Nothobranchius furzeri: one gene and its partners. The protein of the gene in region 1 purifies or fractionates together with the protein of each later gene. This does not show direct contact. Links are inferred from orthologs where the notes say so. Each region holds a gene or a part of one and is shown in the gene's direction. Other genes may lie near its edges.

The links.
Region 2: the proteins of kdm5a (region 1) and gatad1 purify together in Homo sapiens (affinity purification with mass spectrometry; 6 studies listed by BioGRID and IntAct, with this or other methods). This does not show direct contact. The link is inferred for Nothobranchius furzeri from reciprocal best matches to the Homo sapiens genes KDM5A and GATAD1.
Region 3: the proteins of kdm5a (region 1) and phf12b purify together in Homo sapiens (affinity purification with mass spectrometry; 3 studies listed by BioGRID and IntAct, with this or other methods). This does not show direct contact. The link is inferred for Nothobranchius furzeri from reciprocal best matches to the Homo sapiens genes KDM5A and PHF12.

Annotation. Positions count from the first base shown.
Region 1 is NC_091741.1:53,781,039-53,791,279, forward strand, and holds part of kdm5a (lysine-specific demethylase 5A), read left to right. Parts: intron 1-719; coding exon 720-842; intron 843-923; coding exon 924-1,094; intron 1,095-1,210; coding exon 1,211-1,405; intron 1,406-1,565; coding exon 1,566-1,644; intron 1,645-1,720; coding exon 1,721-1,812; intron 1,813-1,896; coding exon 1,897-2,055; intron 2,056-2,176; coding exon 2,177-2,296; intron 2,297-2,379; coding exon 2,380-2,538; intron 2,539-2,676; coding exon 2,677-2,858; intron 2,859-2,956; coding exon 2,957-3,119; intron 3,120-3,199; coding exon 3,200-3,319; intron 3,320-3,408; coding exon 3,409-3,603; intron 3,604-3,693; coding exon 3,694-3,875; intron 3,876-3,995; coding exon 3,996-4,120; intron 4,121-4,294; coding exon 4,295-4,445; intron 4,446-4,532; coding exon 4,533-4,653; intron 4,654-4,764; coding exon 4,765-4,941; intron 4,942-7,078; coding exon 7,079-7,257; intron 7,258-7,339; coding exon 7,340-7,658; intron 7,659-7,729; coding exon 7,730-8,290; and 3 more. UniProt on the Homo sapiens protein: Histone demethylase that specifically demethylates 'Lys-4' of histone H3, thereby playing a central role in histone code. Does not demethylate histone H3 'Lys-9', H3 'Lys-27', H3 'Lys-36', H3 'Lys-79' or H4 'Lys-20'.
Region 2 is NC_091759.1:18,088,205-18,098,588, reverse strand, and holds gatad1 (GATA zinc finger domain-containing protein 1), read left to right. Parts: upstream 1-7,930; 5' UTR 7,931-8,157; coding exon 8,158-8,352; intron 8,353-8,714; coding exon 8,715-8,837; intron 8,838-8,911; coding exon 8,912-8,971; intron 8,972-9,059; coding exon 9,060-9,243; intron 9,244-9,316; coding exon 9,317-9,507; 3' UTR 9,508-9,730; downstream 9,731-10,384. Other genes in the region: uncharacterized protein si:ch211-57n23.1, read left to right, coding at 2,516-3,144, 4,885-5,026; chrac1 (chromatin accessibility complex protein 1), read right to left, coding at 5,743-5,828, 6,241-6,367, 6,495-6,647. UniProt on the Homo sapiens protein: Component of some chromatin complex recruited to chromatin sites methylated 'Lys-4' of histone H3 (H3K4me), with a preference for trimethylated form (H3K4me3).
Region 3 is NC_091753.1:61,661,356-61,672,322, reverse strand, and holds the start of phf12b (PHD finger protein 12), read left to right. Parts: upstream 1-4,078; 5' UTR 4,079-4,723; coding exon 4,724-4,789; intron 4,790-5,094; coding exon 5,095-5,276; intron 5,277-6,715; exon of another isoform or gene 6,716-6,726; coding exon of another isoform or gene 6,727-6,740; coding exon 6,741-6,813; intron 6,814-7,203; coding exon 7,204-7,660; intron 7,661-7,883; coding exon 7,884-8,004; intron 8,005-8,185; coding exon 8,186-8,318; intron 8,319-8,420; coding exon 8,421-8,585; intron 8,586-8,764; coding exon 8,765-8,908; intron 8,909-10,464; coding exon 10,465-10,967.

The DNA of each region.
Region 1 (10,241 bases):
TTTTCTGGAGTGTTGATGCTTGAAAATAAAACCTTTTGGAGAAATTCTGGATGCTACAGCACAGAGCATGTTGGGGCAGTAACTGAAAATAATAGAATCATGTACGTGTGTTTTGCCCTTATTCTGCCCTCTTTACTTACCTGGGCTTTTTAAAATGGCATCACATGACACACAAGTTTAGCCTTCAGGAGGCATACAAGTGGGCTTCATCTGAAGGCTGCAAAGAGGATTGTTATGAAATCCGTTTCTGATTCTGATTTTGGAATTGGAGCCGAAACTGAAACTGGAATACAAATTCCATTAGCAGCTCAGTCCTGACACCAGTTTATGCTGAACAGTTATGTTGCTTATTATTAGTGTCTGTTTATGAAAAATGTTGGAAAATTTAGATGTGCTTTTAGAAAATTCTTGGATTTGTGTTTCCTTTAGTATCTGAGGAGAGATGAAGTGCGCCACGGAACCTCCTTTAAATCACTGACAGGAGAATTTGTTGAAACAAATCAAAATTTTCTACCTTTAATATTTCTTTTTCTTATATGCTCCTCAAGTTCTGAGCAGCAATAAATGTTTAAATGAACTTTAGTGTTTTTGTATTTGGATTTAATTACAGATAATAGCTATTATTGCTTCAGGTGCTCAATAAGTGTAACAGAGCGTTTTATTCCTGTTCTTACAATCTGCTCTCTTTTGTCTCTGTTTTTTTTTTTTTTTTTTTTCAGGCCCTAACTCGGGTTAAACTAAACTTTCTGGATCAAATAGCAAAGTTCTGGGAGCTGCAGGGATCAAAGATTCGATTTCCTCACGTGGAGAGAAAGGTTCTGGACCTCTATCAGCTCAGCAAGGTAAAAACGGATCTACCTTTTTAATGCCTGTGGCACTGTCCGTGTTTCCTCTGCTAACTTTCTTATCTCTGACTCGTTCAGATTGTGTCATCCGAAGGTGGCTTTGAGACTATCTGCAAAGAGAAGAGATGGTCCAAAGTGTCGAGTCGAATGGGTTTCCCACCGGGAAAAGGCACTGGTTCCCTGCTGCGTTCCCACTATGAGAGAATCCTTTACCCTTACGAGCTCTTCCAGTCTGGAGCTACGCTCACCGTGAGTGGAGATCCTCCTCAGTTTATTCAGTCCTGATTTAGTTTATTCAGATCAGTTTCATTGAAACAGTAACGAAAACTAAAGAAGTTTTTGATTCTACTAATCGTTTTAATCAGGGACTCCAACGGCTGTATGACGAGGCAACGGACGGGGAAGACGTAGATGAGGGGGTTGGCGAGGAAACAATGGAGGAAGACGAGGATCAAGAAGAGGAGGACGAGAAGGACAAGGAGAAAGACGTGGAGGGCGAAGTGACACAAACCAAGGGGCAGCTTCTTCCCGAGAGGCGCTCCAGACGTCTCAAGTCAGAGGTGAAAGCAGCTGTTGGCGTCACTCACATGCTAACGGAACTTAGAAAGTCACATTTTTGTTATTTTTCTGCTACAGCAGCTAGACAAACTACAAAAAAGGCCTGTATAAATCCTAACTGTTGTTTACTGTCTGCTCTTGTGTCTCATTGGACTCCTTTAGAGGGAGAACAAGGACCCTAAAGGTCTCAAAATCTTTGAAACAAGTCCCAGGATGGTCGATTTAGAGATCGTGTCTGCTGGTAAGCTTCAAACTGATAAACTTTTACATAGTAAATATTAGAAAAGCAGATTAATTACGTTTCTTCCCCTATCTAGACGACGGGTTTATTAAGAAGCAGCGTCACCTCAAAGCTCAAGCCTTTGCCATCAAAATGAGACCACGTAAGGAGACCCTGGAGGTCAACTTCGTGAGTCAGATTTGTTTGAGTTTGGCATCAGAGGCTCAGAAGTCACCCCTAGGGGTTAAACTTTTTGCATCTTCTGTCCCTCAGATTGACCTTTACCTCTGCCTGGTGTGTGGACGCGGAGACGAGGAGGACCGCCTCCTGCTGTGTGACGGCTGTGATGACAGCTACCACACCTTCTGCCTCATCCCCCCTCTGCAGGATGTGCCCAAGGGGGACTGGCGTTGCCCCAAGTGTGTTGCTGAGGTAAGGACTGAAAGATGTCTGACAGTCACGACTGATCAAATTTTTTAGTTTTTTTTTTTATTTTCCTTTTGTTGAAATTCTGTTAATCAGAATCTTCTTTCTGCGTCGTCTTTTTCTACAGGAGTGCAGCAAACCCAGAGAGGCGTTTGGCTTTGAGCAGGCGGTCAGAGAGTACACGCTGCAGAGCTTCGGAGAAATGGCCGACAACTTTAAATCAGACTATTTTAATATGCCGGTTCACGTATGTCGAAGGAGCTCGTGAAGAGGATTGAATGTGATTTAAGAGCTGGGATGGGTTTAACCAGGTCCACCTTTTATGTTTAGATGGTCCCTACAGAGCTGGTGGAGAAGGAGTTCTGGCGTCTGGTCAGCAGCATCGAGGAGGACGTAATCGTAGAGTACGGAGCTGACATCAGCTCCAAGGAGGTGGGAAGTGGGTTTCCTGTGAAAGATGGCAAGAGGAGGCTTCTGGGAGATGAGGAGGTGAGTGCCTCTGAGGCACTTTTGCCTTTTTTGCTGAGTTGTTTAGTTGATTTTTATGTAAATGACCTTCATGTGATTTTCAGAATTAGTAAAACAAAAACTTTGAAACATTATCAATGATGACACGATTCCCTTCAGGAATACGCCAACTCTGGCTGGAACTTGAACAACATGCCGGTTCTGGAGCAGTCGGTTCTCGCTCACATTAATGTGGACATATCCGGCATGAAGGTTCCCTGGCTCTATGTTGGGATGTGCTTCTCCTCCTTCTGCTGGCACATCGAGGACCACTGGAGTTACTCCATTAACTTCCTGCACTGGTGAGAAGGCACAACTGGAAGAGCTGATAGGTCCTGCAAAATCATTTTGACAAAAAAAAAATATTATGATGCAAATCTTTGCTTCTGCTGTTTTTTAGGGGAGAACCCAAGACTTGGTATGGAGTACCGGCCTCTGCAGCAGAGAAACTGGAGGCTGTGATGAAAAAATTGGCCCCAGAGCTGTTCGACTCTCAACCCGACCTCCTTCACCAGCTGGTCACCATCATGAATCCAAACGTCCTCATGGAGCACGGTGTTCCTGTAGGGTGGATGTTTGATCTGAGGACGTGTCTGTATGGTCTCTGTTGTTCCCCGGCCTTATCTTTGTGACTGCGTCTCAGGTTTACAGGACTAACCAGTGTGCCGGGGAGTTTGTGGTGACCTTCCCCAGAGCCTATCACAGCGGCTTCAACCAGGGCTACAACTTTGCAGAAGCTGTTAATTTCTGCACAGCTGACTGGGTGAGGAGAGTCCTCCTAGCACATTCCATTTAACACCGCTCTTGTTTCCTTCACGGCGGAGTTAGTCACGCTTTCACATGCTCTCCCAGTTACCTTTGGGGCGCCAGTGCGTTGCTCACTACCGACGGCTCCACCGCTACTGCGTCTTCTCCCACGAAGAACTGTTGTGCAAGATGGCGGCTGATCCCGAGAGCCTCGACGTGGAACTGGCTGCGTCCATTTTCAAGGAGATGGGAGAGATGATAGAGGAGGAGACGAAGCTCAGGCAGGCTGTCCAAGAAATGGTGAACATGTCAAAAGTGTTGGACTGCACCGTGACTGAGCTGAAATTCAAACCTAACCGTTAAAAATCATCTTTTGTTTCCTGGATGTAGGGGGTGCTGTCATCAGAACAGGAGGTCTTTGAGCTCGTTCCAGACGATGAGCGTCAGTGTCACAAGTGTAAGACCACCTGCTTCCTTTCGGCGTTGACCTGTCCCTGTTGTCCGGACCGGCTGGTTTGCCTCCATCATGCCAAGGATCTCTGCGACTGTCCTCTTGGCAACAAGTGTCTTCGGTAGGAATTTTCATGAATAAAAAACCTGTTTCTTTTGTGGGCTAAATTTAGAAGTCGGGATCCTAACTTGGTGTTCCATTTCTTCCGTTAACCACCTTCAGCTTCGTTTTTATGTCTCAGATATCGTTATGATCTGGAGGAGTTTCCATCCATGTTGTATGGCGTTAAGACCCGGGCTCAGTCCTACGACACCTGGGCCAAGAGGGTCTCTGAAGCTTTGGTAGCGGATCAGAAGAACAAAAAAGGTCCATGCATGTTTTTCTCCACAGTCTTAAACCTTATTATAACCTGAAAATGCACATAAAACATGTTCCTTTTTCAATCTGATCAGAACTTTTATCTATTAGCTCCAAAACTGAAACAGAAATCTAATCTCGAACGTATCCCTTTGAATTTTTATCTCCTTGTTTGTCTTATAGATTTGATTGAACTCAAGGTTTTGCTGGAGGACGCAGAAGACAGGAAATACCCTGAGAACTCGTTGTTCCGTCGCTTGAGGGAGATGGTGAAAGAAGCGGAGACGTGTTCCTCAGTGGCTCAGTTGTTGCTCAGCCGTAAGCAGAGGCACAGGTCTGTACACCTTCACACCACAGGCCAGCAGTGGAGCTCCCATTGTCAGGTCCAGAGAAGAGCTGACGGTGTCGTCTGTTTTTGCAGCAGCCGCCTTCGTTCTGAAAGCAGCCGTAATCGCACCAAACTGACCGTAGATGAGCTGAAAGCCTTTGTGGGCCAGCTCTACAGGCTGCCATGTATCATCAGCCAGGCGCGACAAGTCAAAGTCAGTCCTGTCTGTTATTGTTATACGATGCCCACATACAGCATGTTTCCTCCTGCTTCACTCCTCTGATGACATCTGACCTCTTTTCTTTAACTCCCCATGTGTTTTTAGGAGTTACTGGAGACTGTGGAGGACTTCCACGAGCGAGCCCAGGTGGCTTTATCAGACGAGACGCCCGATTCCGCCAAGCTGCAGGAGCTTTTGGATCTGGGAAGCGGCCTGGACGTAGAGCTGCCCGAGCTGCCTAGACTCAAACAGGAGCTGCAACAGGCCAGGTGGCTTGATGAGGTGAGCTGTTAAAGTGGGAGCCAAGGCCTGGGTGGAGACGTATTTCATCCACACTTCCTGTTAACAAAACACTTCTAAAAGAGCCTGATGAACCGAGAGAGCAGCACTGAGGCAATGACAGATGGCAACCCCCCAGCGTGCGCTGTTTCTCTGTTGAAAAACAAGTCCACGAGCACACATGGAAGCAAGCATACACTCACAGCAGACTTACCTCTCAGGAGAAGAGCAGACACAGATTCTGCAGCATTCTGGAGGATTTTATGTCCACTGAGATCATTAGACGAAAAGGGGAGGAGGGCTTTTTTTTTTTTTTAAAGGAGGCAAGCAGCTCAGAGCTCCAACATGTCATATCGGCAGGTGAGTAGTTGAGCCGGATGGAGGTGCGGCTGCCTCACCTGGAGACCAGTGCATTGCAGCCTTGTAGTAATTTGCTGACAATGTCACGTTTTTCAGCTTAGCCGTCAGCCACAGCTGATTCTAAATAAATGTGGAGATGAGTTTTTAACCTGAAGATGGTGATAGAATTACGGTTTGGGGCTGAAATAAGTTTAACGTAAGTTGCACTAAACTGCCACACTAATGGTTACACATGTCTACAGCACTATTAGACACTCATCTATCTTTATCAGCAAAAAGGTTAATTTAGGTGTTACTCACTCTTTAACCAATCCCAGCCAAGACTTTAGTAAACCTGTCCCTTAGCAGGGATTTGTTAGGATTGTAGAGGCTTAACACGTCTGATTATTCAAAGAATTGCAACGTTGTTGTGCTTTGAGACTTTATTTCTTTCCATAAGATGGCAAGAAAAAAAAACAATTTAATCAGGGACTCCAACTAATAATAATAATAATAATAATAATAATACATTTTATTTAAAAGTGCCTTTCAGGACACCCAAGGTCACTTGACAGAAAATACTTAATAAAATACAATAAAACAATAATAAAACCCAAACAAGGAAAAAAAAACTGAGAGAAACAGTTCAGTAAAATCAGAGGTTGTAGGCAGATTTAAACATATGTGTTTTGAGTTTAGTTTTGAAAAGGGTAAAACTGTCGATGTTCCTGATGTCTGGGGGAAGTGAGTTCCAGAGACGAGGAGCAGAGTGGCTGAAAGCTCTGCTCCCCATGGTAGCGAGACGGGCAGAAGGAACCGCAAGATGGATGGAAGAAGAAGATCTGAGTGAACGGGATGGGGTGTGAATACTTATAAGGTCTGAGATATATGGAGAAGAGAGGTTGTGGATTGCTTTGAAGGTATGGAGGGGAATTTTGGAGATGGACCTGAATTTAACTGGGAGCCAGTGAAGTTGTTGGAGAACCGGGGTGATGTGGTGAAAGGAAGGGTTTCTGGTGATAATACGGGCTGCTGAATTCTGGACCAGTTGCAGTTTATGAAGGAGTTTGTTGGGGAGACCATAAAGAAGTGAATTGCAATAGTCGAGACGGGAGGTGACGAGGCTGTGGACGAGAATGGCGGCAGTGTGAGGGGTCAGTGAGGGGCGAAGACGGTTTATGGAACGTAGATGGAAGTATGCTGACCGAATTATGTTATTAATGTGAGCTCTAACCCTGTCCTTATTCGTGCACACCGAAAATTCCTTAAATGGCCTGGAAAATGGCCCGGTGGAATGGACGCGCATGCCGGGAAATGCTGGTAAATTTACCCTGAAGTTCCGCTCGTGGAAACACGCCTAAAGTTTCAAATGCTCTGGAGCCTCAAAGAACAAACTATTATATAGGGTTAAATGCATAGAGATGACCTTGTAAATATGAAGAAGAACAAAGAAAAAAAAAGCTGTAAACGTGATAGTGTGAAGAGGTTTTTAAACTAATAGTGGATGAGTTAATTTGCATATTGGAAACCTTTGAGAATTGGAAAATAGTTTTACATCATCAAGAGTCTCTGTTTTTACACACCGTGTCTCCTCGAGCAGCAACTGTCAGTGATGCTGGTTACAAATCCTTATGGTGACTCATGATGCAGTCTCCTGTGCACATTCAAAGTAAATCACTTAATTATTTTAAATATTTTACTCCCTAAAATACTCAGCTCTGAAATGGAAATCCAGAAAGTAAAATTTAAAGCCTGAATGTAAAACGACTAGAGCTCTTTTTCCATCTTCATCAAACTTCAGGTCCGTGTCACCCTTTCTGAACCACACTGTGTCACTCTGGAGCTGATGAAGAGGCTGATCGACTGGGGGGTGGGACTGGCTCCACATCATGCTGTGGAGAAGGCGATGGCAGAGCTACAAGAGGTCCTCACTGTCTCAGAGAGGTGGGAGGACAAGGCACGTGCCTGTCTAGGTGCCAGGTGAGGCGGATTCAAAGATGCACCAAAAAAAAAAAATCCTGCACTTGAAATCTCTCTGAGTTGTAATCATCTTTTGCCTCAGACCTCGACACAGCATGGTGACCCTGGAGAGCATCGTGCTGGAGGCCAGAAACATCCCAGCATATCTGCCCAATATTCTGGCTCTAGAAGACGCCCTCCACAAAGCAAAGGAGTGGAGCGCTAAGGTGGAGGCCATCCATAACGGAAGCAGCTACGCTTATCTGGAGCAGCTGGAAAGCCTCCTGGCCAGAGGTCGCTCCATCCCCGTTCGACTTGATCCACTGGCCCTGGTGGAGACCCAGGTGGCTTCAGCTCGGGCCTGGAGGGAGAGGACCGCTCGCACATTCCTGAAGAAGAACTCTACGTACACGCTGCTCCAGGTTAGAACACATCTGGTTCATTACTTGCGTCTGAAAACATCATAGACCTGAGTACAGCCTCTCTTTCCCAGGTTCTCAGCCCACGTATGGATATCGGCGTTTACAGCAACAGCAAGAGCAAGCGGAGGCGGGTCAAGGAGCTTATGGAGAAGGAGAGAGGTGGCTTTGACCCCCACACTTTGAGCGACCTGGAGGAGAGCCTTGAGGAGGTCCGAGACCCTTCAACTGTTGTAGCTGCTTTCAAAGCCAAAGAGCAAAAGGAAGTGAACGCCATTCACTCGCTCCGTGCTGCTAATTTAGCCAAAATGGCCATGGCGGACCGCATTGAGGAGGTCAAGTTCTGTCTGTGTCGAAAGACAGCCAGTGGCTTCATGCTGCAGTGTGAGCTTTGTAAGGACTGGTTCCACGGCGCCTGCGTCCCTTTACCTAAAACAGGAACTCAAAAGAAAGTGGGCGTGGCCTGGCAGAGCAACAGCAAAGACTCCAAATTCTTGTGTCCGCTGTGTCAGAGGTCGAGGAGACCGAGGCTGGAGACCATTCTGTCCCTGCTGGTTTCCTTACAAAAGCTGCCGGTGCGTCTGCCAGAAGGAGAAGCTCTGCAGTGTTTAACAGAGAGAGCAATGAGCTGGCAGGTATGTTCCTTTAATTATTCAGTTCCTTCTGCGTCCAGTTTCCCTTTAATAATCTACATGGGTGTCACCGTCCTACCAGGACCGAGCGCGTCAAGCTCTGGCTACCGAGGAGCTGTCCTCCGCTCTGGCCAAGCTGTCTGTGCTGAGTCAGCGTATGGTGGAGCAGGCGGCGAGGGAGAAGACGGAGAAGATCATCAACGCCGAGCTGCAGAAAGCTGCTGCCAATCCAGACCTGCAGGTAGCCCCGTTCCTCAAGAGTGTTGTCTCTGTTTTTTAAAAGCACCACGATGCTTTTAAAAAACAGAGACAATTAGAAAAGAAAAATAATTTTTTCCAATAATTTTTCTTTTCTAATTCAGTTTATTAATAAAATGAGTTTTTAAGAGTCAAAAAATATTTATTTTCCATCTAAAAAGTTCTATTAAACAAATTCTTGAATGTTGATACATTGGGGAAAAAAAATAAAAGTAAAACATTTTTTTAACCAGGTTAATCATTTAAATCGTTTGTCACAAACTTCACCTAAATAGTTTAGATGAAAGACCAGAAACTACTTCCTGGTCTAAGATAATAACGCCCATGTGTGGACTTACGTTTGAATTGCATATTTATCACATTAATTTTTCAGATAACTTTTGTTTTATAACTGAGTCCCAAGGTGATTCTGAAGGCTATTCTGCCTGTTTGGTTTATTTCATCTCCAACAGAGTGAACTGATTTATTTGTAGGGATGCTTCATCTAAACAGCTGTAGCTTTAATATTTTAGTTTACATGTTGTTGTAAAAATCCAGCTACAACATTTTTATTTTGCTCCCGTCTGTTTTCTGCCATGGCAGCATCAGGGAGCCTTCGGTCGTTTATAAGCCGTCAGACCATGGCGGTAATGTGACGCAATCGTGTCCTTTTTACAAAAGATTAGGTGATGGCGGCATAAAGGGGGTAGGGGGGGCGGTCTATGTGCTGCCGCGGACTCCCGTGTATCTTGGACATAATTTGCTTTTTATTGCGATCAAAGTCATGCTCATTACGTTTTTTTAACAAGCCGCTCCTAAACAGGGTATCCACGGGTCCTTAAAAAGTCTTTAAAAGTCTTAAATTAGCTTTTCCAAATTTAAGGCCCTAAAAATCCTTAAAAATGACAAATAATCCTTAAATACAGTTTCCAAAGGTCTTAAATTACCAAAGACCCAATAAACAAAATTCTTTTATTTCTATTAAATTTTCGGAAATTTCTAGTTAGTGTTCAGCATTTTTTGTGTACGATGTTGGCGTAAGCGGAACCGTACACATTCAGTTGGTTGTGAAAGGGGGCTATGTTTAGATGAGCACATTAGCTGGTTAAGCTAGTGGGAGCTCGCGCCATGGGGAAGTGCAAGTTTAATGGTAACTGGGTGGCTAATCCCACGTTCGCGATGTGGTTAGCACCGGTTTCAGGCAATAGCTGGAAATTATAGTTTAAATTTAATTTAAAGAATAGCTTAAATGTGGTCAAAGTGGCCTTAAAAAGGTCTTAAAAAGTCTTAAATGTGGCTCCCTTAAACCTGCAGATACCCTGCTAAAGGTGTTTGTCCTCCACAGTCCCCGTGCGGTCTCTGGTTGAGCTCCAGCTCTAATGGAGAAAAGCTCCAGTAGCGCTGCATCGCTCCAGATTATCATCTCCGCTGATTCTGGTAACAAAAGTTAAACTTAAGGCCCGTGTTTACTTTCATTTTCAAAATGGTTGCCGGTCGGAGCTCAGGAGTAACTCCCCACGTGATCCTTACACCTCCCTCTGTTGCACCAAGGCACAATCACCGTTTATAGGACAGACGATTACTACAATATTACTACCAAGCGAGGCGGAACAAATGCCGCAAAATTTGTGCATCGCCATGCCAGCATGGCGCGTTTATAAGACACACCGTTAGGGTGATATTATGCTGATTTGCCGTCATGGTGATTCTTGTAAAA
Region 2 (10,384 bases), on another chromosome or scaffold:
TGAGGTTTACGTCATCTGCAGCTGCTTGGCTTGTGCAAAAAATATTCTTGTTGATTTCCCTCATGGATCAACTGGAAGGGGTAAATTCAGCTTTTTCCCTTAGTTATTCAACTCTTTTAAAATGCTAAAGCAGGCTCTGACAACACTCAGTGTTAGATTCTATCATCAGGAAGACGGTCCCAGTCCAAATTTCATACTAGCAGGGGCGGATCTAGAATTTTTTGGAGTATGGGGCCATCAAGGGGCCTCACTAATTTTAGTGAGGCCAAGAGTTAGTCCAACTTCCTTAAGCCTTATGACCTTAAGCGGAGACTGTTGGAGGCTGACTTTGGTCGTTAGGGTGCTCCTTAAGCTGTCGCTGATCTGGTCGACACTGGACAGCCACATACTTGCGAATCACCCTCATGTTCGTGGTTTTTAGTCACGATTCTCTTCACGACAAGAGATGTGTCTAGGATGGCCCAAAATAATGCAGTGTTGTCCGGGCTTTACACAAGCTTTCATGCAGGAAAGTCCTTTTTGTATCATTAGTGCCACTAGTGTTTGGACTTGAAACTGGATCCACCTATGATCTGATCATCAGGATAGATGAGTCTCAGGACAGGGGCACTTCAGGGGGCGGGGCCAAACTGATTCCTGCAGGAGTCATGCTCCTTTGGCCCTTAATGACTACTGCCTTAACCCCTCCTTTACACCGGAGCTGTGACGGAGCCGTCAGCAGCACGTTACTGCAGCAGCACGTCACAGCTGCTGACAGGAACCGCCGTGGTCAACAGAACCTTTTCCACCGGAGCCGTCAGCAGCGCGAGTCGGCCGAGTCTCAGGAGCAGCATGTCGCGGCCCTTACGCGCTGGTTCTATTTTCTCCGCGCTACGCCCCTGAAATGGGTCAAGTTCGACATTATTGGGAAAGGAAAGACAGGAAATCGGACGCGGAAATGGAGCGAAGCTTCCCGAGATTTTCAGAATAAAGAAACGTACTGCCTTCCGGTTGCTTTACTTTAAAAAAAAGTTATCACCTAGCTAGCGGTCTCCTTTGTTTTTCCATAATGGACGACGAAAGGTGGATTACTAAAGTGGAGAAGTACCCAATCCGGTTTGATCCCAGTCACAGTTTTTATAATGACGAAGGATAACGCATGGAGTGACGTATCTGCGGTTTTGGGGCAAGACGGTGAGTTCATGCTAGTTATTAACGTGATTTCTTTTCTGTATGGACCTCTGTCAGTTATGCTATCTAAAATACGCGTAATTTTGCTAATGTCACGTGACTTCGTGCTCTGTCGGTGACAGCCGCTCTCCTGCTGCTTCGCGTCTCGTGGGAAGGGCCAAGCAGCAGCATACGCGAGTAACGTGCTGCTGACGGCTCCGGTGGAAAGGAGGGGTACTTGTAGTTGTTAGTCCTCAGTCTAGTCATGCTGTCTTTGTGGTTTATGTTGAAGCATAAATGTATGATATTACATACATATTATATGGCAATTAAAGAATCTTTACAACTCAGTGTCAAGATTATTTTATTGCCATATCACATGTCTGTAATATCCTATATTTATATGTCATTTTGTCTCTACTAACTGGATGATTTGCACCAGTTTTATTAGTGTTGTGGATAAAATCGCTTCCAGATTTCAATGCGGACTTGAGGGTTTCTGCCACGTGTTCCTCCCCAACAACTACAACACATGTTGCTTGTTTTTGCCAAAATCCGTCCCATTCCTTTGTTGCTTGTGTCAGAGTTTACACGTTGGACGAGATGAATTCACTTCCTGCTCAGCTCAAAACTAGATAAATAAGAAGTTGCTTAGCTTTTCTTTACCCTTTCTTCTGTGACATGGATGAAAAACGGTTCATTTTAACAGATAAAGTTGAAAATTGAGCATTTGAAAGCGGTCCAGAGTCTGTTTCCGTTTCGGAAATCGTAAAACAGGCTAACCTCCTACTCATCTGTCCACGTGGAGGAAATCAGAAGCAGAAAGAAATCAGAAAGATCTGTTCCAGTTCAAGCGTTAAACTTATCGACACAATTAGGTTTTGCAGAAAAGACTCGCCTCAGGGAAATAAATACTTGTAAAACTGGTAAACAAGAGGCTCATCGGCTCATTTGAGGTGAGTTTTACATCATTCCCTCCTCAGACTTTGGCTCCTGGTTCTGCTGTAACTGAGCCAGTGGAAAACCATTTAGACTGCATGTTACAGGCTGCACACGACTCATTCTTTCCAACAGCTCCAGGCTCCAGATGAGCTCTTTTACACACACACACACACTCACACACACACACACACTGCTCTGCCGCCTTTCTAAAAGGTAAGATCATTTCTGAACACCAACGCTGATTCCTGTAACTGGAATTGTTTTAAGTGTTTAGGAAACAGGTGAGCTTTAGCTGGATTTCTTTTCAATTTGAAGTCTTTAGTGAGTAAATAGATCAGCCTAGATAAAAACTGCTTTAAGTCTGGTTTGTCTCAACACCTTTGGGGCTTTTATTTTGAAGGTGCATGGCAACAGTTGGTAGTAAATGATCCTTCACTCATGCATGTTCCTGCTGGCCTGTGGAAAACTCAAACCTCAGCTCTTTGTCGTTTGTTCTGTCTTTCCTTTAGACAACATCTTCATCTTAGTTTCAGGATCGTTGGAGATGTTCTGGTTGCGTTTCTCCTGCTGCCTCCTTCTGGGTTTTTGCTCTCCTGAGGATGCAGACTCAGCAGCTCCTACGGTCCCCTCGGAGCAACAATCTGGGGAAGCAGACTTTGAGGACTGGGAGCTGGGTTCTGGATCGTCTCTGCTGCACCTGCTCCCAGCCGACAGCCCCTTTGTGATAAACTCCCCAGGACCAGGAGTCAACTGCACACAGCGTTTCTGGTTACCGCCTCACCCTCCAGTCTGCTGGGAAAACGTGGCAGAGCCGGAGGAGTTTGCCAAGTCCCGTCTGCTGGCTCTGCAGAACAGGGCCGCCCTGCAGGCCGTGTCCACTTTGAGCGGAGTGGGGGACGCGGGGGTTTCGTACAACCACCAGGCCAGACAGGAAGTCCAGGGGATCCTCTCGGACCACCAGAAGGTCAGAGAAACCGTGCAGACCATGGAGACGGTGTTTGTTTCTCTGCAGCAGAAAAGGAAAGAAGGGAAGGAGCAAGTTGTCCTGACAAGGTGAGAAAAATGTGTCCGATCCAGAACCTAAAATGTGCTGAAAATGTTCTACTGATGAGTTATTGTTGCAACACAAGATTCGCCTCCTGCACTCAGATTTATGTTTGAGTGGTTGTGACTTTTAAATGAAGTCATGAGGAAAGTGCATCGTGTAGCCTTCATCGGTCTACTGGAGGACTTTATCATAGTCTTCTTGCTTCAGAATTAAGATTATTTATGATTAAATCCATCTGTAATCTGTAATATTCAATGGGATTTGTAGAAGATAGACGGACAGAAACTGTAAGACAAAGAAAAACTGAGAAATTGAGAAATTAAAAGGGAGAGATATTGAGAGAAGAGATGTGAGAGTGAGGGGGAAGGGGGTTAAGAGTGATATTGAGGGGGGGAGAGAAATTGAATAACAGAGATTGAGAGAGAAGGATTAAGAGAGATTGAGAGATTATGAGGGAGATTGGGATACTGAGACACAGAGAAACTGAGGGATTAAAAGTGAGATTGAGAGATTAAGAGTGATATTGAGGGGGGGGGGGGGAACTGAATAACAGAGAGATTGAGAAAGAAGGATTAAGAGAGATTGAGAGATTATGAGGGAGATTGGGATACTGAGACAAAGAGAAACTGAGGGATTAAAAGTGAGATTGAGAGATTAAGAGTGATATTGAGGGGGGGGAGAGAAACTGAATAACAGAGAGATTGAGAGAGAAGGATTAAGAAAGATTGAGAGATTATGAGGGAGATTGGGATACTGAGACACAGAGAAACTGAGGGATTAAAAGTGAGATTGAGAGATTAAGAGAGATATTGAGGGGGGGGGGGGAAACTGAATAACAGAGAGATTGAGAGAGAAGGATTAAGAAAGATTGAGAGATTATGAGGGAGATTGGGATACTGAGACAAAGGGAAACTGAGGGATTAAAAGTGAGATTGAGAGATTAAGAGAGATATTGAGGGGGGGGGAGAAACTGAATAACAGAGAGATTGAGAGAGAAGGATTAAGAAAGATTGAGAGATTATGAGGGAGATTGGGATACTGAGACAAAGGGAAACTGAGGGATTAAAAGTGAGATTGAGAGATTAAGAGTGATATTGAGGGGGGGGGAGAAACTGAATAACAGAGAGATTGAGAAAGAAGGATTAAGAGAGATTGAGAGATTATGAGGGAGATTGGGATACTGAGACAAAGGGAAACTGAGGGATTAAAAGTGAGATTGAGAGATTAAGAGTGATATTGAGGGGGGGGGGAGAGAAACTGAATAACAGAGAGATTGAGAGAGAAGGATTAAGAAAGATTGAGAGATTATGAGGGAGATTGGGATACTGAGACACAGAGAAACTGAGGGATTAAAAGTGAGATTGAGAGATTAAGAGAGATATTGAGAGAGAAAGAAAGAAAGAGTGATACTGAGAGATTAAAATAGTGAGATTGAGATTAAAATAGTGAGACTGAGAATTTAAGAGTGAGATTAAGAGATTAAGCAGGCTGCTGAAAAAGACAAATCTGCTATTTCTTGCAAATGAGCTGTTCAGATTGTTTTACATGAACAAACTGATCCAGAGTCAGCTGTGGAGGTTAGCTATGAATCCTTAACGAGGCACGTGAAATCTGGATTATTACATGATGGATCTAAAAGTAGAAAACAAGCTGAGTCATCATCTGGACATCAGAGGTCGTTAACTGAATGTGTTTGTTTGATTAAAAACAAACTTATCCATATTTACTCGTTTCGTCCTCTTTAGGCTGAACGATCATCTCGCCAACACGAGGGACGGTCTCGACAGGAGAGCGCGCACGGCGAACAGCCTGGAGAGTCACTTTTCTACTTTAGAGAAGAATCTGTTTCATTTTCAGCTTCGACTCGCGAAGCTGACCCGACGCTGACGATTCATGTTCCATTCATGCAGCAGCTAACTAAATATCAACCACAATCCCCTGCAACATGCTTGTGAAACATCATAAAAGTATAAAACATCGGATCTTGACACGAGAGGCATTTATTTTAGCATTCATCTTTATTTTATATCAAATCTAAACACACGAGTAAATTCACAACGACGATTCCCTCTGAGACATTTTAACAAAGAAAATGACGTGAAGCTGAGGTGGCATTTCACATCTGGAGAGGCACAAACGCTGCTTCGCAGTCTCTCATCTAAACACGTCGCCTCTCTACAGGTGGATGAAGTTTTTCATCCACTCGTGTTTTCTGTCACGTCTGTGTTCCAGCTGCTTGTCACGTCTGTTAGGAGGTAACGGTTCACTTCTGGTGCAAGTGGAAGCACCTAAAAGACAGCCCCGACTGTGTTCAGCCAAAATTAAAATGTTAAACTGAACTGATTGGTCTGTGCTGCCTTTTAAACCAGTGTTAAATATCTTATTTGCTTACTGCCATTATTTGGTCTAAATTCCTCAGAGCTGAGCTCTGAGGCAATTTAAGCTCCACCTTCTCCAAGACCGTGTGTTTAAAAAGCTCTAAAGTCCATAAGTGTCTCCTCTGACACACACACACACACACACACACACACACACACACACACACACACACACACACACACACACACACACACACACACACACCAGGGAAAGTGGCTTTCATGTCAAAGATCAGCTTCTTCTTCTTCTTCTTGCATCTGCTCCAAAGTCTTGAGGTAATCTCGAGCCAAGATCTTCTTCGGCAAAATATCTGTCAGATTAAAAAAACCTGTTTTTCAGTATAAATTTTATTTATTATCGGTCTTTTCTCTGAGAAATAAAGTTCAAATGGCACAAAAATTACATGTTGCTAAAATAAATGTAAGCGGCTTACAGTTCTTGTGGAAAATTCATATCGCTCTCTCTCTCATCTGTAAGTTTTTTTTTATTGGTTTGATTCTGTTTCATTCCAATCTTTCATTTTTGGCAGTAAAATACAGGAAAGCTAAAATAAATCTTCCTAAATGGTCCAAAAGCTAGCTTCCAATGGCGTTTTGCTATTTTCCTCGTGTCTGGGACTTTATTAAAACACTTATTTATAAATAAAACATTAAAATACAATAAAGGCCAGTGTATCTAATAATCTGGCTTCAGGACGCGCTGATGCTCAGCTCCAGACTCGCCTGTGAGGAAGTGGAAGGTCTCGTTCTCCTCGGTGGTTTTAGCTAGGTCGCTGTATTCCAGGGTGTTGCTGTCCTTCCCGGAGCCGTTGTTGAAGGAGGACAGGGCCAGATGCTGCACAAACAGCTCCTTTACAACAGATTAAAAACTATATTTAGCGATTTTAACTTCACACGATTTTAGTTCAACCACCAGCTAGTTATGCTAACCCCCCGCTAATAGAAACACAACCACATTAGCATCAAGGGCAGCTTACAGTAGCCTTGGTGGTGAGGAACAGCGCGTCTTGGTTGATGCTGGAGACATCCGGAGAGCTCTTCATGATCAGTCTGACCCGGGACACCGGGAGAGAGATGGACTTTTTGGCGTCCGGCGTCTGGCTGTCTTTGTTTGGGTTGTTTCGAGACATTTCTGTTTGGACAAAGGACAAGAATGACTGAACTTTAAGTTTTGTTTTGAAGAGTGACGCCTTTCTTCTTCGCCGTCTTCAATTTCTTTGGTGGTCTTTACGTTGAAACAGCGCCTCCCGCTGGAAAGCAGGAGTATAACCCAGCACAAAAGATGTTATTTCAAACAACACTGTATATTTAGATTAAATTTAATAAATAGTAATTAAATTTTACCCTGATACTATATTTGTATTTTAAAAAAGTACCTGACAATCATTCCAACCAGCTCTTGGGAAACGGTCAAAACAGAACCATGCTTGAGAGAAACAACTTTCAGCTTGTTTAAAACTATTATATTTAATATAATATAATTTAATATAATATACTTAAATATACAAATGAATAATCTCGAATAAACTCTATCATTATTTTTGCCATAGTGAGGCAAAGGAAATGGAACTCTTTTTATTTTGTTTGCATTTGTTTCTATTCTCCATGAATCACAGGTCCTAGTGTAAAAATGTGTTTGTTAGAATACAGTAAAATAAACTGCAGAATTGTTTATAAAAGTAAACAAAAGTAATTAACATTATTTTAGTTCCTCAAAGGATTATACCAATTTTCTAAAAACTTTTAAGGAAATCTGTAAAAAATATGAAATACATTAAAAAACAGGAACAACCACCACTACTACTCTGCCTCCTCCTCCTCCTCCTCCTCCTCCTCCTCCTACTACTACTACTACTACTACTACTACTACTACTACTACTACTACTACTACTACTACTTCTACTACTTCTACTAGCTACTACTAACAATAAAAATATTAATAATTTAAATAATTTAAAGTAGAAGACGTTTTATTTGTCTGTTAGTGGGGAAAGCCAGTCTTTCAATCAGCAAAAACCTGTAAAAATAAAGAGTGAAAAAGATACAATCAAAGGCATGGAAAGTAACAACTTTGTTAAACAGATAATAATCAAATAAACGGTTATCTCCCATTGTAATAATAATGATAAGAAGAAGAAGGCCGCTGCTTCAGCACTCAATAAGTTAATTCCTATATCAATCCAAACTTTTTAAACATGTGAATGAGTGATACTAGTGATCAATAGTTTATTATTTTAATCCTGAAAAAACACAAAGTTGTTGTTCATGCACTCATATCTATTTTAACAACGATAATAAGGAAATACTGACTCACATTTAGCTGCCCCAGCCCAGCGCCCGACGCAGTCCTCCACACCAGTAGGCGGCGCTTGACTTCAATAGTTTTCCGACCTCAGAACAAAGGAAACGCTGAAGAAGAACCTCCGCGCTGAAAGTAGAAACAAGTCAGTACATAAATAATGCTGCTTTAACTTCGTTGTGTTTTAAGGCTTTTTGATGTCTTTACGGTTATTTTTGTTTGATAATCGTTGGCGAAATATGCTAAAGCTACATCCGGTCGTGATCTGGTAATAAGCCAAGCAGCTGCGTTTCTGTTGTGATCGTTTTTACGTACGGAGGCATCGTTCTCTAGCCGGTAAAATGCCTCTGGGTTTGAAGCCGTGCTGCTTTGTCTGTAAGACGAACTCTTCCTCAATGTGGAAGAAAGGCACCCAGGGTGAAATACTGTGCAACAACTGCACAGGGAAGAGCAGCAGTAGCGGCGGCGGCGGGGGAGCTTCGGGACCCTCCTCCATATCAACCATCACACAGCCCAGCAACGGCGGGGCCAAGCAGGTCAGAAACACCGAAGAGAAACGCCACGAACAAAATCCGAGAGTTCATGAGGAATTGTTAGTTTTTATGTCTTATTTTAGTTAATTTTTAGAAAGCGTACACATGACTATAACATCATTGTTTTTGCTTTTCTTTAGTAGTGTCTTGGTGTAACAACAGCGCCCCCTGGTGGCCATGAAAATGTTTCTAGAAAGTAAACTGGAATAAAATAGTTTGAAAATAATACTTCATGTCATTTTTTTAATAAAATAATTTTACCATTTAGTTTAATATTTTTAATTAAAATAAACTGATTTATAGTTTTTTTTTCTGCTGAAAAAATGCCATCAGGAGCAGAAATATTTAAATGTGTCCATTTGTAGTCCAAACAGGAAATCCACAGGAGGTCTGCACGGCTGAGAAGCACCAAGTACAAAGCTCCTGCTTCTGAGAAAAAAGTGTCAACAAAAGGAAAAGGAAGAAGACACATTTTCAAGCTCAAAAATGTAAGTTTCTGCTTCTTTAATGTATTTATTTCTGATATCTTTTATTTGACCTCATCCAAATTATTTCCTCGCAGCCTATCAAAGCACCAGAATCCGTAGCAACAATCATCACATCAGAATCTATATTTTATAAGGTATGATTCTGATTCGTATTAAACTAAAAGGCATCGTAATGATGATACTTTAATCTTTTCTTCTTCCATCCTGTGTTTGTATTTGCAGGGCGTTTACTACCAGGTGGGCGATGTGATCAAAGTGATAGATGAGGAGGATGGAAAGCCGTACTACGCTCAGATCAGAGGATTTGTGCAGGACCAGTACTGTGAGAAAAGTGCAGCACTGACGTGGCTCATTCCCACTCAGGCCAGCTCGAGCGATCAATTTAACCCTGGAACGTACATCGTCGGTAAGAACTGTGGCTAAATAAAGGATTTTTTTTGTGAGTGATTTATCTTATTTCGCTTTATTATGTTTATCAGGACCAGAGGAGGATCTACCCAGAAAGATGGAATACTTGGAGTTTGTGTGCCACGCCCCATCGGAGTATTTCAAGTCTCAGAGCTCCCCATTCCCCACCATCCCCATATGTCCTGAAAAGGGTTACATCTGGACCCACATAGGATCCACACCAACTCTTACTGTCAAAGAGTCTGTCAGCAGCGCGAGCTAACAGGACCGATGTGGACTTGGCCTGTTGCCTGTTGTTGTCAAACAGATAAATGTACATTTATGTAACATAGAGAAAATGGTTGCGGACGGCAGCCACTATTTCAGTATAAAGGAAAGTTGCAATTTGATACTAGATGGACGGCGTATACAAGTTGTTTACACATAACTGCAATATTGGAATAAATTTGCAAATAAAAAAATGTGAAAAAACCCTTCAAGCATCAGTTTTGCCTGTTATTGTTGAAGAAAGTTTGTGCAAGAATTTCAGTATCCTGCAAATAATATTATTTTGTTATTTGGAAATGAAATGTTTAGTTTTTACTTCTTATTTACATTCTATAGATTTAAAAACACCAATAAATAATTTAAAACGGATTTGTTTATTTTATAATAAATCAATTACAAAAAATGTATTTTTCAATTTTACTGAATGCAATATTTATGAATTTATAAATAGAAAATGGTTTAATTAATCGTGTCTATCAAATGTAATACAGGTCCAGATATTAAAACCAAGCTTGTGAATAATAAACTGGTAAAACTGTACAATAAGGGTCCCTTTATTAACATTACTTTCTGCATTAATAAACTATTAAAGTTAACAATATTACGTCATGCATTACTAAGCAGACACCCCCTCCCCTCCCTTTGTCCCAACCTTAAGGACACTTAATAGTTAATGCTAATTAAGCGAGCTTTTATTAATGCTTAATACACTGTGTAACGCTAATAAAGGCACCCTTATTGTAAAGCGTTACCAATAAACCTCCCTGAAGTGTAAAGCTGCCCATCTCAGCGGTACAAAGTCCTAAACAGACACCGTGTCCCATCGAAGGACATGACACAGCTGCTTCTATAAATAAGCTCAGCTCTCCTAA
Region 3 (10,967 bases), on another chromosome or scaffold:
CCAGGCAAATCTTTCTGTTGGGAAGATGGACAACTTTTACAAAGAAATCCATCATTACCTCTTTGAAAATACACTTTTAGCATAGAGCTGCATGTATATTAGGGCTGAACGATTAACTGCATGTGCAATTAAATTGTGATGTGACAAAAGGAGATTTTCTAATCGCAAAGGCTGCAATTTGGCAGCGAGTGGTTAGCGCAATGCTAATGTACATGGAAAAACCCATAGGAATGCTAATGCTAAAGTTAAAATTTCCAAATAAATATTTAGTTAGCAAGCTAAATATTTAATTTGTAGTTAAATATTTCTTTTGTAAACTAAATATTTAGATCAGACCTAAATATTTAGTTTGCAAAAGAAATATTTAACTATAGATTAAATATTTAGCTTGCTAACTAAATATTTATTTGGAAACTTTAACATTTATAAATGTATGAATTACATGGTGAAAAGATGACTTTGAAAAAGTGAACTCCCAATTTTTTCTCTTATTATTTGCTAAATAACCAAAAATATTGCTGTTAGATTATGACTGTTTGACTTTACAAATGGCACCCCATAGGACAAGATGTCAAAAACTCTAAACACAAAATACTTAAATAAACGGGACACACTTCTTTCCTGCAAATACAATTTCACAGGTGTTACTAATACCTATGATCCTTCAAGGGATGTGCTCAAAGAGGAGTTCAACATCATGAATAAAATATAGTGTTTAATTTACAAATACCATTATAAACACAAACTTACGTCTTAAGAAACATTATTTTAATAACGAAACTGCTAAATTCTTTCCAACAGTATAGATGTGTAGTGTATTTTGTCCGAGTGGGTTTGCCGTACATTGACGTCATCGGCAGTCGAAGGACCCCGAGCCGATCTTGCACCCGTGCAGATCCTGTACCGACACCGTCACCACATAATCACGCCTCCCCTAACGTAGCTACTACTTACCACATGGTGATATTTATGGTGGTTCTTTCCTCCTGAAGGAAGGATTAGAAGTTTGCGGAACTTACAGCCATTTTCCTTCTGTTTTTCTTTGTGTCTGGTTGTACATTTGGACTTATTTTAACACAAAACCTAAAATAAAATAAAAATCTCCTCCAGCGGTTCCACAGTCGTCCCCAGAACAGAACCAGCCTTTGTTATTAGGCTGTTGAGCCTTTTCAGGTCCCTGCTTCTGATGCTGCTACCCCAACAGACGATGGCTGAAGAGATTACACTCTCAACAACAGACTTGTAGAAGATCTGCAGCATCTTGCTACAGACATTGAAGGACCTAAGCGTCCTCAACAAGTGCAGTCTGCTGTGTCCCTTCTTGTAAACGGCTTCGCTGTTCTTTCTCCAGTCCAGTCTGTTGTCCAGGTGAACTCCAAGGTGTTTGTATTCCTCAACCACCTCCACTTCTTCTCCCATGATGGAAACAGTGTTTGACTCCACCTTGTTTCTTCTGAAGTCTAAAATCATCTCCTTTGGTTTGTTCACAAATTTTAGCCCCATTGACTTGCCTTCATTTTGTCGTTCTTCTGGGGACCCATGGTGCAGAAGTAGAAGGGCGTGAGTTAGGCTCCCTGTGGACTTGCATTAATTTTTCCCAGTCTGTGATATAATGAGCGGCCTTAGGAATGCAGTTGTGATTGAGCACATGGGCGGTCGGTGGTCTGTGATATAATGAGCGCATCTCCAAGCACATGGGCGGAGCAAAAGAGCGCGGAGAAGTAGTGTGAGCAGTCTTGCTTTTTGAGACTCTGACTCTGATATTGCATCCCGCTTTGCTGTGTCTGGCAGTACTGTGTATGTGTCAGTGTGTGTGTGTGTGTGTGTGTGTGTGTGTGTGTGTGTGTGTGTGTGTGTGTGTGTGTGTGTGTGTGTGTGTGTGTGTGTGTGTGTGTGTGTGTGAGCGCTCCTCACTGCAGTGAGGGACAGAGAGAAACGGCTTCAGTCAGAGGCTTGTTAACTCCACAGCATCCAGAAGGATAATGAATCATGCATGCGGGAAGCCTCCGCGGGCTGATTCTATCTGCCAGTCGGAGGTTCCCAATAATAATAGGTCTGCTTTTCAGTCAGCCAATCAGTCGGCAGTGGGTGTGTCGGCCCGGCTCCAGGCAGACCTCCTCGAGAAGAGGGCTGAAAAGATGTCCAGGAAAATCCAAGGCTACCCAAACGAGAACAATCACTTTTATGGATTTCTAAAAAATCATAGTCCTGAAAGGGGGAAACTCTGGATAGCAGCTTTAAGCAAATTGATAAAACAAGTGAATTAAAATTCAGTCAGAGATTTGCAGTGATTCACATTAAATCAAATTAAATTAGAAGTTGAAAGCACCTTTGGGCATCAGACTAAGTGGTGAAATCTCTGAAGAATGAATGAAAGTGAATCATACAAAATCTGGGAGACGAGGAAAAATCGAGTACAAGGAAACCAAGAAAGAATCAGAGCAGGTCAGAGAGGTCGTAGTTCTGCAGGGTTAAATTAAATTCTAGAAGTTAAGATCTTTATTCTAAATATCAAGTTTGATTGGAAAAATATGTGATAATACAAAAGGCTATTAATACTGAATATGCTGATTATTCATGAGTAGCTCAACAATTTTGGTTTCGCAGTCCAGCATCAGGTATGATGACTGTCCTTAGGTGTGAGTGGGTGTGTTGTCCGACCTATCCAGGGTGTCTCCTGCATCTCGCTCAATGACTGCTGGAGTTAGAAAGCCCCCTGCAACCCTGCTGATGAAAAGCAGTTAAGAAAGAGAGTGAGCAAGAGTTTTGTTATGAACCGCCTTTTTTATTGAATAATAAAACTCTTTCCTCAAAATAAAAAACATAGTGATAATGGATAGCCTGAACACTGAATGTAATCATTATGAACATATTTAAAGCTAATAAATCAAGTCGTTCTGGATAAAATCAACTAGGCCCAACCAGAAACTGTAGAAAGAGATCACAATCATTCCATCAGCAAAGCAACTAAAACATAACCCTATCCGGCTAAACGCTAAGGCGGTGGCTCCCTCTGCTGGTGAAGCAGAGAAACATCACCAGACCAAGGACGACCAGTTTCTGCATTGTCTGAGTTTCACCCAACAGTTTGCATAAAAATATACAAATTTTTAAATGTTGCATTTTTGGAGCTTTATATTGTCCTTCCTTTAGTTTAAAAAGTAAAATAAAAGTAAATTCATTCGTTTCGAATTAATTTTAGTTTGAAAACCGTCCCGATGTTTTCTAAATTAATAACCAACAATCTGCTTATTGTGTGGAAAAGTTCTGAATCTTTTCTTCAGCGATTCAATAAACAGTTTTAACAGAAACGGAAGTTACGGTAACATCGCGAATGAGTTACTTTCAAAATATAAGCAGCCCGTTCTGCTTCACATCGCACAGGAAACGTAACACAAACAAAACAAAGCTACTACATCAAGTTTTTCTTTGAAAACTTTCCTAAACCAAGCCTTTTCCAGAAAAGTTCAGCAACCTATTTCTGCTGATTCTGCCATTCCACTAAAAAAAGACAGTGAAGGTAACAGGTTCTTTCATGAGCTGACAAGAACTTTTAAAATGCCACTTTAGGTCACTTTCAATTATTTTTAATTATTCCAATTTCATTGTACTGAAGCAATTACACTTTCTCAGCAAGAAATTGACCACAATGTAGAATTGAAAAGTACTATATGTGTAATAAAAGTATTATATGTGAGCTAAACATAAACATGAAAACTGAGGTTCATGTTTATGGATCTAAATAATGTAACCCGGAAATTTTATTTTGAAGAAACTCAAAGGAACAATACCGTATTGCCGCGTGTTTGAGCGCACAACCAAAAGCAAAGGTTTTCCTGACCATTTTAAACATTCATTGATGAGTTTAAATAGCTGAAAGTATAATAGATGAAAATAAATTGAAGCTTCATTTCTTTACTTTTATTTTAACGCCTACACTTTCTCAAAGACCTTTTTTTGTGTGTTTTGAGGCTTGAATTTTTTTAACTGCTGCAAGAGCCTTTAATGGTCTACAACGGACTCACACTTCGTTACACTCATTACAATATTAGTATCGTTACAATGTTGTCCATTTCTTTCCTTTACCAGTGCGCATGCGCGTCTGGCGGTTCGCGGTTGCGCCAACTGGTAGGATGTTGCTAATAGCCCGTGTAGATGCACAGCCGTTCCCCACAACAATAACATCTAAATTTGCATCTTCACACCCTTGAATCGAGTATTACATTTTCTAAACGCGCTCGGAAGCTGTGTTTTGGACCGAGGCACGCCGAACTTCAAAGTGGATTGTTTGGTTCTTTATTCTGTGGACAATGGGAGCGGAGGGGTTTGCAGATCTACAGGGCTCCCTTTTGCAGGACCAGAAGCGAGAATCATGGCTTGCCAGCTAGGCCGCCGATGGATTTTGTCGCCATGAGCAAATATCCATTGATCATCAAATACTGGATGTATTTTCGGTGATTGCACATAAAAGTGGTGCTACCAGGCTCGCGTCTTTCTCTGACTTCTTCTGTTGATAAGACCGAGCCCGTTAGCTTCACAACCTTGACTGGCTGACGTCTTGCGCGTCGTAGTTAGCTTTTTAGCTAGCTAGTGATAGCTAACCATCTTGCCGCTGGCCACAATCTTTAGGAATTCAACATTTTTGCGGGATTAGCACTCACTGCCGTGTATCTCAAGGAGATCAAACTTCAAAGTCTTTCCTGCAGCGTTTGCTTCTGAATGAATGTGGGACAAAATGGAAACTCCGACGATTGTGTACGATCTGGATACCTCTGGGGGCTTAATGGAGGTGAGGTTGCTACGTTTGAAGGCCTCAGTGGAAAGATTGAGCTTTTCTAGCACTCTGGTTGTTTGATGTTGTTTTACTTAGGGTAGTTATGGCCATTATAGCGTTTTTACGAGCGACTTGGTCAGTAAAGTCTGGTTAGGGTTTGTGATGTGCTCTCAAGTTGGTGGTGTCTCTCGCTTAGTTCTATGACCGAAGACTTGGTTGTTTATTTTAATAAACAACCAAGTCTTCGGTCATAGAACCTGCATTTTTTTACGTTTTTAAATTTCCTGTGTAAATGTAACCGCCCTGGTTTCATTTTACAGCAAATCCAAACTCTACTCGCGCCTCCAAAGTCCGAAGACGTGGACAAGAGGAGTCGAAAGTTGGTGAGAGACGTCCGGAGGAGCGGCAGAGCCACCAACCACGACACCTGCGACAGCTGCCGGGAGGGGGGAGACCTGCTCTGCTGTGACCACTGTCCCGCAGCTTTCCACCTACAGTGCTGGTGAGTGCTGGCTAGCAGCAGCAGCTCCGCGCGCTGTGGTGCTGCTTTAGCTAGGCGGTGAATGCTAACCATGGTGGGGCTGTAGATGCTAACCATGGTGGGGCTGTAGATGCTAACCATGGTGGGGCTGTAGATGCTAACCATGGTGGGGCTGTAGATGCTAACCATGGTGGGGCTGTAGATGCTAACCATGGTGGGGCTGTAGATGTTAACCATGGTGTGGCTGTAGATGTTAACCATGGTGGGGCTGTAGATGCTAACCATGGTGGGGCTGTAGATGCTAACCATGGTGGGGGGCTGTAGATGCTAACCATGGTGGGGCTGTAGATGCTAACCATGGTGGGGCTGTAGATGCTAACCATGGTGGGGGGCTGTAGATGCTAACCATGGTGGGGCTGTAGATGCTAACCATGGTGGGGCTGTAGATGCTAACCATGGTGGGGCTGTAGATGCTAACCATGGTGGGGCTGTAGATGCTAACCATGGTGGGGCTGTAGATGCTAACCATGGTGGGGCTGTAGAAGTCAGTTCTGCTCTGAATTACAGGAATTCCGTTATGACCCAACGGCTCTGGGACTACCAGCTGCCTGTTGGTGTTGAGCACATAATCTCTCTGTGAACGAATAAAGTTCCCTCTGCATTATCGCACACACCGGGGGATGTTGTCACGCCTATTACCTAGCTTGTTATAACCAGACGGTTGATCGTAACTTCGATGATTGCTCCAGAGGTGTGTTATTAAGGTTTGCTCTCTGCGGTTTAAACGAGGCAGAGTTGACTTGCAGTCGGTCCTCCTCTCCTGCTGCTGCTGCTGCTAAAAATGGAGTCGAGGCTGCCTCTGTTTACAATATGGCGACTTCTCTGCTCTCTTCAGCGCCATCTTACCAACCTTTACATTTCGGTGCCGAGGGGCGAAAGGTTTGCGAATAGCATTAAACCGGCGGTGTGGTTTTGTGAGTGTGTAGCGGTTGTTGTTGTTGTTGTTGATCGCTGTGACACTTCCGGTGGCGCATCAGGAACTTCTGCTTAATCACATCTGGTTGAGGAGTTGCGTTTTGGCTGTCACCTGGAAGCGATTTGACTATATTTGGTCATGGCGGTCAGTGGCAGGCTGATCTGGGACGTGACAGGTTGTGCTGAACTGTTAAACCAGCTGTGAACACGGGAATTTCCCAGCTATGCGTGATAACCCCGCACGGTAACGTGTCCCACCGCTGATGCGTTTCAGATGCCTCTGATTATTATAGAGCAGTTCCTAGATCAGCTGCTTTCATGTGGAGGAACTAGTTTTATACATATTCTACTGTAATGGCATGATCCGTCCACCAGGGGGAGTCATTGCTGGGAAAAGGCCTCCGAGTGCATTTTCAAATAGATTTGGTTTGATATTCAGTTTAAATCACGTGACTGAATGGACAGTTATCATTTCCTCCTTCAAGCCTGATGGTTTATGCTTGTTTATAGTAACCCACCTCTGAGTGAAGAGATGCTCCCGCCAGGTGAATGGATGTGTCATCGCTGTAACGTTAGAAAAAAGGTGAGTTGCAGGTGCGCCTGCACGATTCTTTTTTATTAGGTTAAGTTGTGATCCATCTTTGAGATGTTCGGGTCTTGAAATATTAGCACATGAAATTTACATTCATTTAATTTATCTTGAGGTGTTTTTCAGTTAAAACTTCAGCTATTTGAAGAACTTTAAACACTTTGTCATTAGGCTTCCCATCCCGTACCAGTCTGCTTTAAAAAGGAACTTTGTTAGATTAATAGTTGAATGGATCAGAACGTCCTACCGTGTGTGTGTGTGTGTATTCTACAGCATATATTATCTCTGCTCATTATAAACCTTCCAAGAGTCTTTCTTCTGAGTCAGTGCCGTTTGCTGCAATCAGGTCATTCCTTTTGATCCGTTTCATTTGTTTCTCATCAGAAACGGGAGCAGAAGAATGAACAGACTAATGGTTTACTGGAAAGGAGCTTGTCTAAGCGTTCAGCATCCCCCGCTGTAGAGCTGGAGCCCACTGCTGGGCCACTGAGGCTCGATGGTTTGCCTCCAGGAGCCGGAGCTGCAGGTCCTGGCCTAAGAGTAGCGCAGGTCCGCCTTCTGGACCGCAGGACCAGCAGCAGGCCAAGCAGTCGTCCCGGGACACCGACATCCAACACATCCTCTACCCCAACCCCATCAGAGGAGCAGAATGATGGAGAGGAGGAGGTGGTGGAGCCAGAGGATGATATTTCAGGAGCAGAGCCTGAGAGTGCAACGTCAGCAGCTCCAACACCTCGTCTCCTCAAGAGACCCTTTCAGCTCCTAATAGCTGCAGCCATGGAGAGAAACCCCACCCAGTTTCAGCTGCCGACTGAGCTCACCTGCACCACTGCGCTGCCAGGTCAGTCCTTTAGCACGCCCACAGACCTGAGACTGTTGTCCGGTGGGCTGGATGGTAAAGCTCAGCAGGATGTCATTTAGCAAGCGTCCAGTAAAGCTAACTGTAGTTACATCAGTAAAGCATTCAGGTCAGAGTCCCCTGTCTCCAGCTTGTCTTTGGACTCAGGTGTATTACCGGCTCTCACCAGTAGGGGGCTTCTGAAGGGTGTCTTGTTGCTTTTCAGGCAGCAGCAAACGGAGGAGGAAGGAGGAGCTCCTAGGGAAGCCTTTCAGAAGGCCCCAGCATGAACTGGACACGAACGGACTCGTCCCTCTACCCGTTAAAGTCTGCTTTTCATGCAACAGGTTAGAAACCAGTGTGCTACTGGGATTCTCCCACCAAGCAGGGTATGTTTCTAAAGACCAGGCTCAGGGATGTCAGCCGGCTGTGGCTCTACTCAACACGACAAAACCAAAACACCCAACTTCAGCACTGACAGAAGACTGACCCGTCTGTGGTGCTGAAGTGTGTTTGTTTTTCACACAGGAGTTGCAGGCTGGCTCCGCTGATTCAGTGTGATTACTGTCCGCTCCTCTTTCACATGGACTGTCTGGACCCGCCACTAACAGCTTTACCCGCGGGCAAGTGGATGTGTCCAAACCACGTTGAGCACTTGGTGGTAAGAAGCCTAAACTGGTCTTGAGTTAAGCCGACTTCCTGTTAGTCTGATCCGTTTGGGTGGGAGTGTGGCTTTCTCTCATTGTCCTTGTTTTCTGTCCAGCTGGACCAGAAGAGCCTGAGTTTGTCCAGTCGCTGTCAGCTCTTTGACCAGTTCCAGGACAGGGTTTCCCAGCACGCTGTCAAGTTGGACTTTCTGCGCCGAGCCCACCAGCGGAACGCTCCCAATCGGCGCACGACTCACCCGCAGAACAGGAAAACCGTTAAGGTAGACCGCTGCTCTGTCCGCTGGTGTGTGTTTGAGTGATGATGTCATGGCGGCGTCTGACATCAGCGCTTGATCACCGATCCTCTGAGTTCTCCTTTCTGACTCCAGTCATTAAAAAGCTCACGGATGAAGAATGCGTGTTAGGAGAGGAACGTTTTCAAACTGTTGTTTTCGTTCAGGTGCCAGATGCCATCAAGGCTCAGTACCAGAGTCCTCCCCCCATGCTGCTTCCTGCAGGGGTGCGCCAGCTGGAGCTGGTCTGTAGCGGCGTTCCCGACCATCAGCCTCATAAGCACCAGACCACTGAGGCAGAGCAGGACGAGGTGGGTCATGTTCTAGAATTACACATGACCTGGAAACCTTTTAGTCACAAATTCTGTACGAATATTCCAAACACAACTTGTTTTGTTTTCCCTGCACTCTACAGTATCAGAGGAGACGCACGACCACTTGTTTGGTTAGAATATTTCGATGGCTTGTGCAAAACATGTTGGTGAAGTTTCTGCACTAAATTCCTCTCACTTACAGCAAATTCAGCCCTTGTAATCTTGGCATTTTCAGGACCTTCCAGAATGAGTCGTTTCAGCGCTTTCGCCAGGCCTTTCCACTGGATGCGTAAGCATTGCGTAACGTCTGCAAAGTGAAGCCCGCCGCCGTTGGCCGGCATTCTAGTCGATAGGTGCGTGTTCGGTAGATCCAGAGGTTTGGTGACGCGTTGCTCTGCTAGACTCAAGGTTGGTTTATGCTTGACGCGTCCGCGAGGTCCGCATGGCTCCGCGCGGAAAAGTTGAGTCATTTTGCGTCATTTTAACGACCACGCGCCTCCACACGGCCCAGAATTTCCGCAACGCGCACCTCGGAAAATTTCTAACCACACGGACGGACGGACGCGGAAGAACATGGCGGACTGGCAAGAACTAGTATGGCAGAGGTTCGTAAATACAGACATGTGTATGATTCAGCTCTCAGAGTTCACCGTGATCAACATGATGTTAATAATTCTTGGAGAGAAATAGCTCGCACTGTCGGAAAAGACGAGGACGCTGTTAAAAATGCTGGAATACCATGTTGTAAACAGTAATTTCTACTTCTACTATGGTGTAGTGTTGGATGCATGCCGTAGAGCTCCACGCTGCCCCCTACAGTTTGGGAGAATATTGGCTCACCGCAGAGACGAGCCGCATGAACCATAAACGCTGCGAGTTGTGAAGCGCGTTCCATCCGCGAGCCGCATCACCAAGCGGAAAGTGCTTCAATGTCATGCTTCAAGTCAAAACAAATACATTTATGCATCAAGTCTATTTATTCTGCACTATGCTTCCTTTAGCAGTTCAGATCAGGCCAGACAGGAAGTCAAACACAAAAGGAGTAAAAAATCCGGATACTTTCTAAATAAGTCGTGTGCAGATCTCCGTTTGCTTAATAGCCACAAAAGTACGTCATTTCCTGTGAAATGTAGCCGAGGTGAGCAGAACAGACTATAAACCACAGAGCTTTGTGTATAAATGCTGCCATGCTTGTTGTCGTGGGAACTGATGAAGTCACGCGTGATGTTGTGGTTTCTGTGGCAGCGCGGGACTTTGGCGCTGCTGCTTGTGTCTGAAATGCTCGCAGTGGGAAGGAAGCTCATGGGTAAACGTGTCGGTTATGGACCGCTGCGCTCGCGCGTCTGCCGGGCGTCTTTAGGAAAACTCTCTCCAGCCACTTCCTCCAGGGGAATCCTAAAGCTGAGAAGCGTAGGTCCTCCAGCGCTCCAGGTTGGACAGATTGGGATTATGAAGTAAAAAATATTTGAAAAAGCTCCGTTAATCAAATCTGAATGATTAGACGAGTCTTTCCTATTCCTCACTAACAACAGCACGGTCTCTGTGTTGGGCAGTGGCTTCAGGACATCGTAGCCCTCCAGTGCAGCATCATGAGGCACCTCTCCATCAGACAGAAGGCAGCGTCTTCAGCAGAGTGTGATGGTGCCAAAGCACGCGTTGCACCAGAGGACCTGAACACCCGGGCCTCTCTGGAAAGGACTTCCTCCCCTGGCCCCTGCTCTAAGCCTGAACCCCCCCCAGGGGCCTTTATTAGCAGAGACACCCTAGCAGGCCTGGCTGGTTGTAAATGCAGCATGGACCCGTGTCAGAACTGTAGGAGACCTAACGGACCTCTGGCAGAGCTGGAGCCATCCAAAGCCAACGGACCAATAGACTGTAAGAGTGCCTCCGACCCCTGCAGGCAGGATGGGCTGCAGCGCACACTGAAGCCTAGTACAACCCCCCCAGACCCGGCTCCTGCCCTGAAGCCGGTCAAGCACATAGGAAGTGAAGCGGTTAAAAAGGAGCCTGAGACCTGCGCTCAGAAAAGCTGCCCTACGGTCTGGCCCCTCAGCAG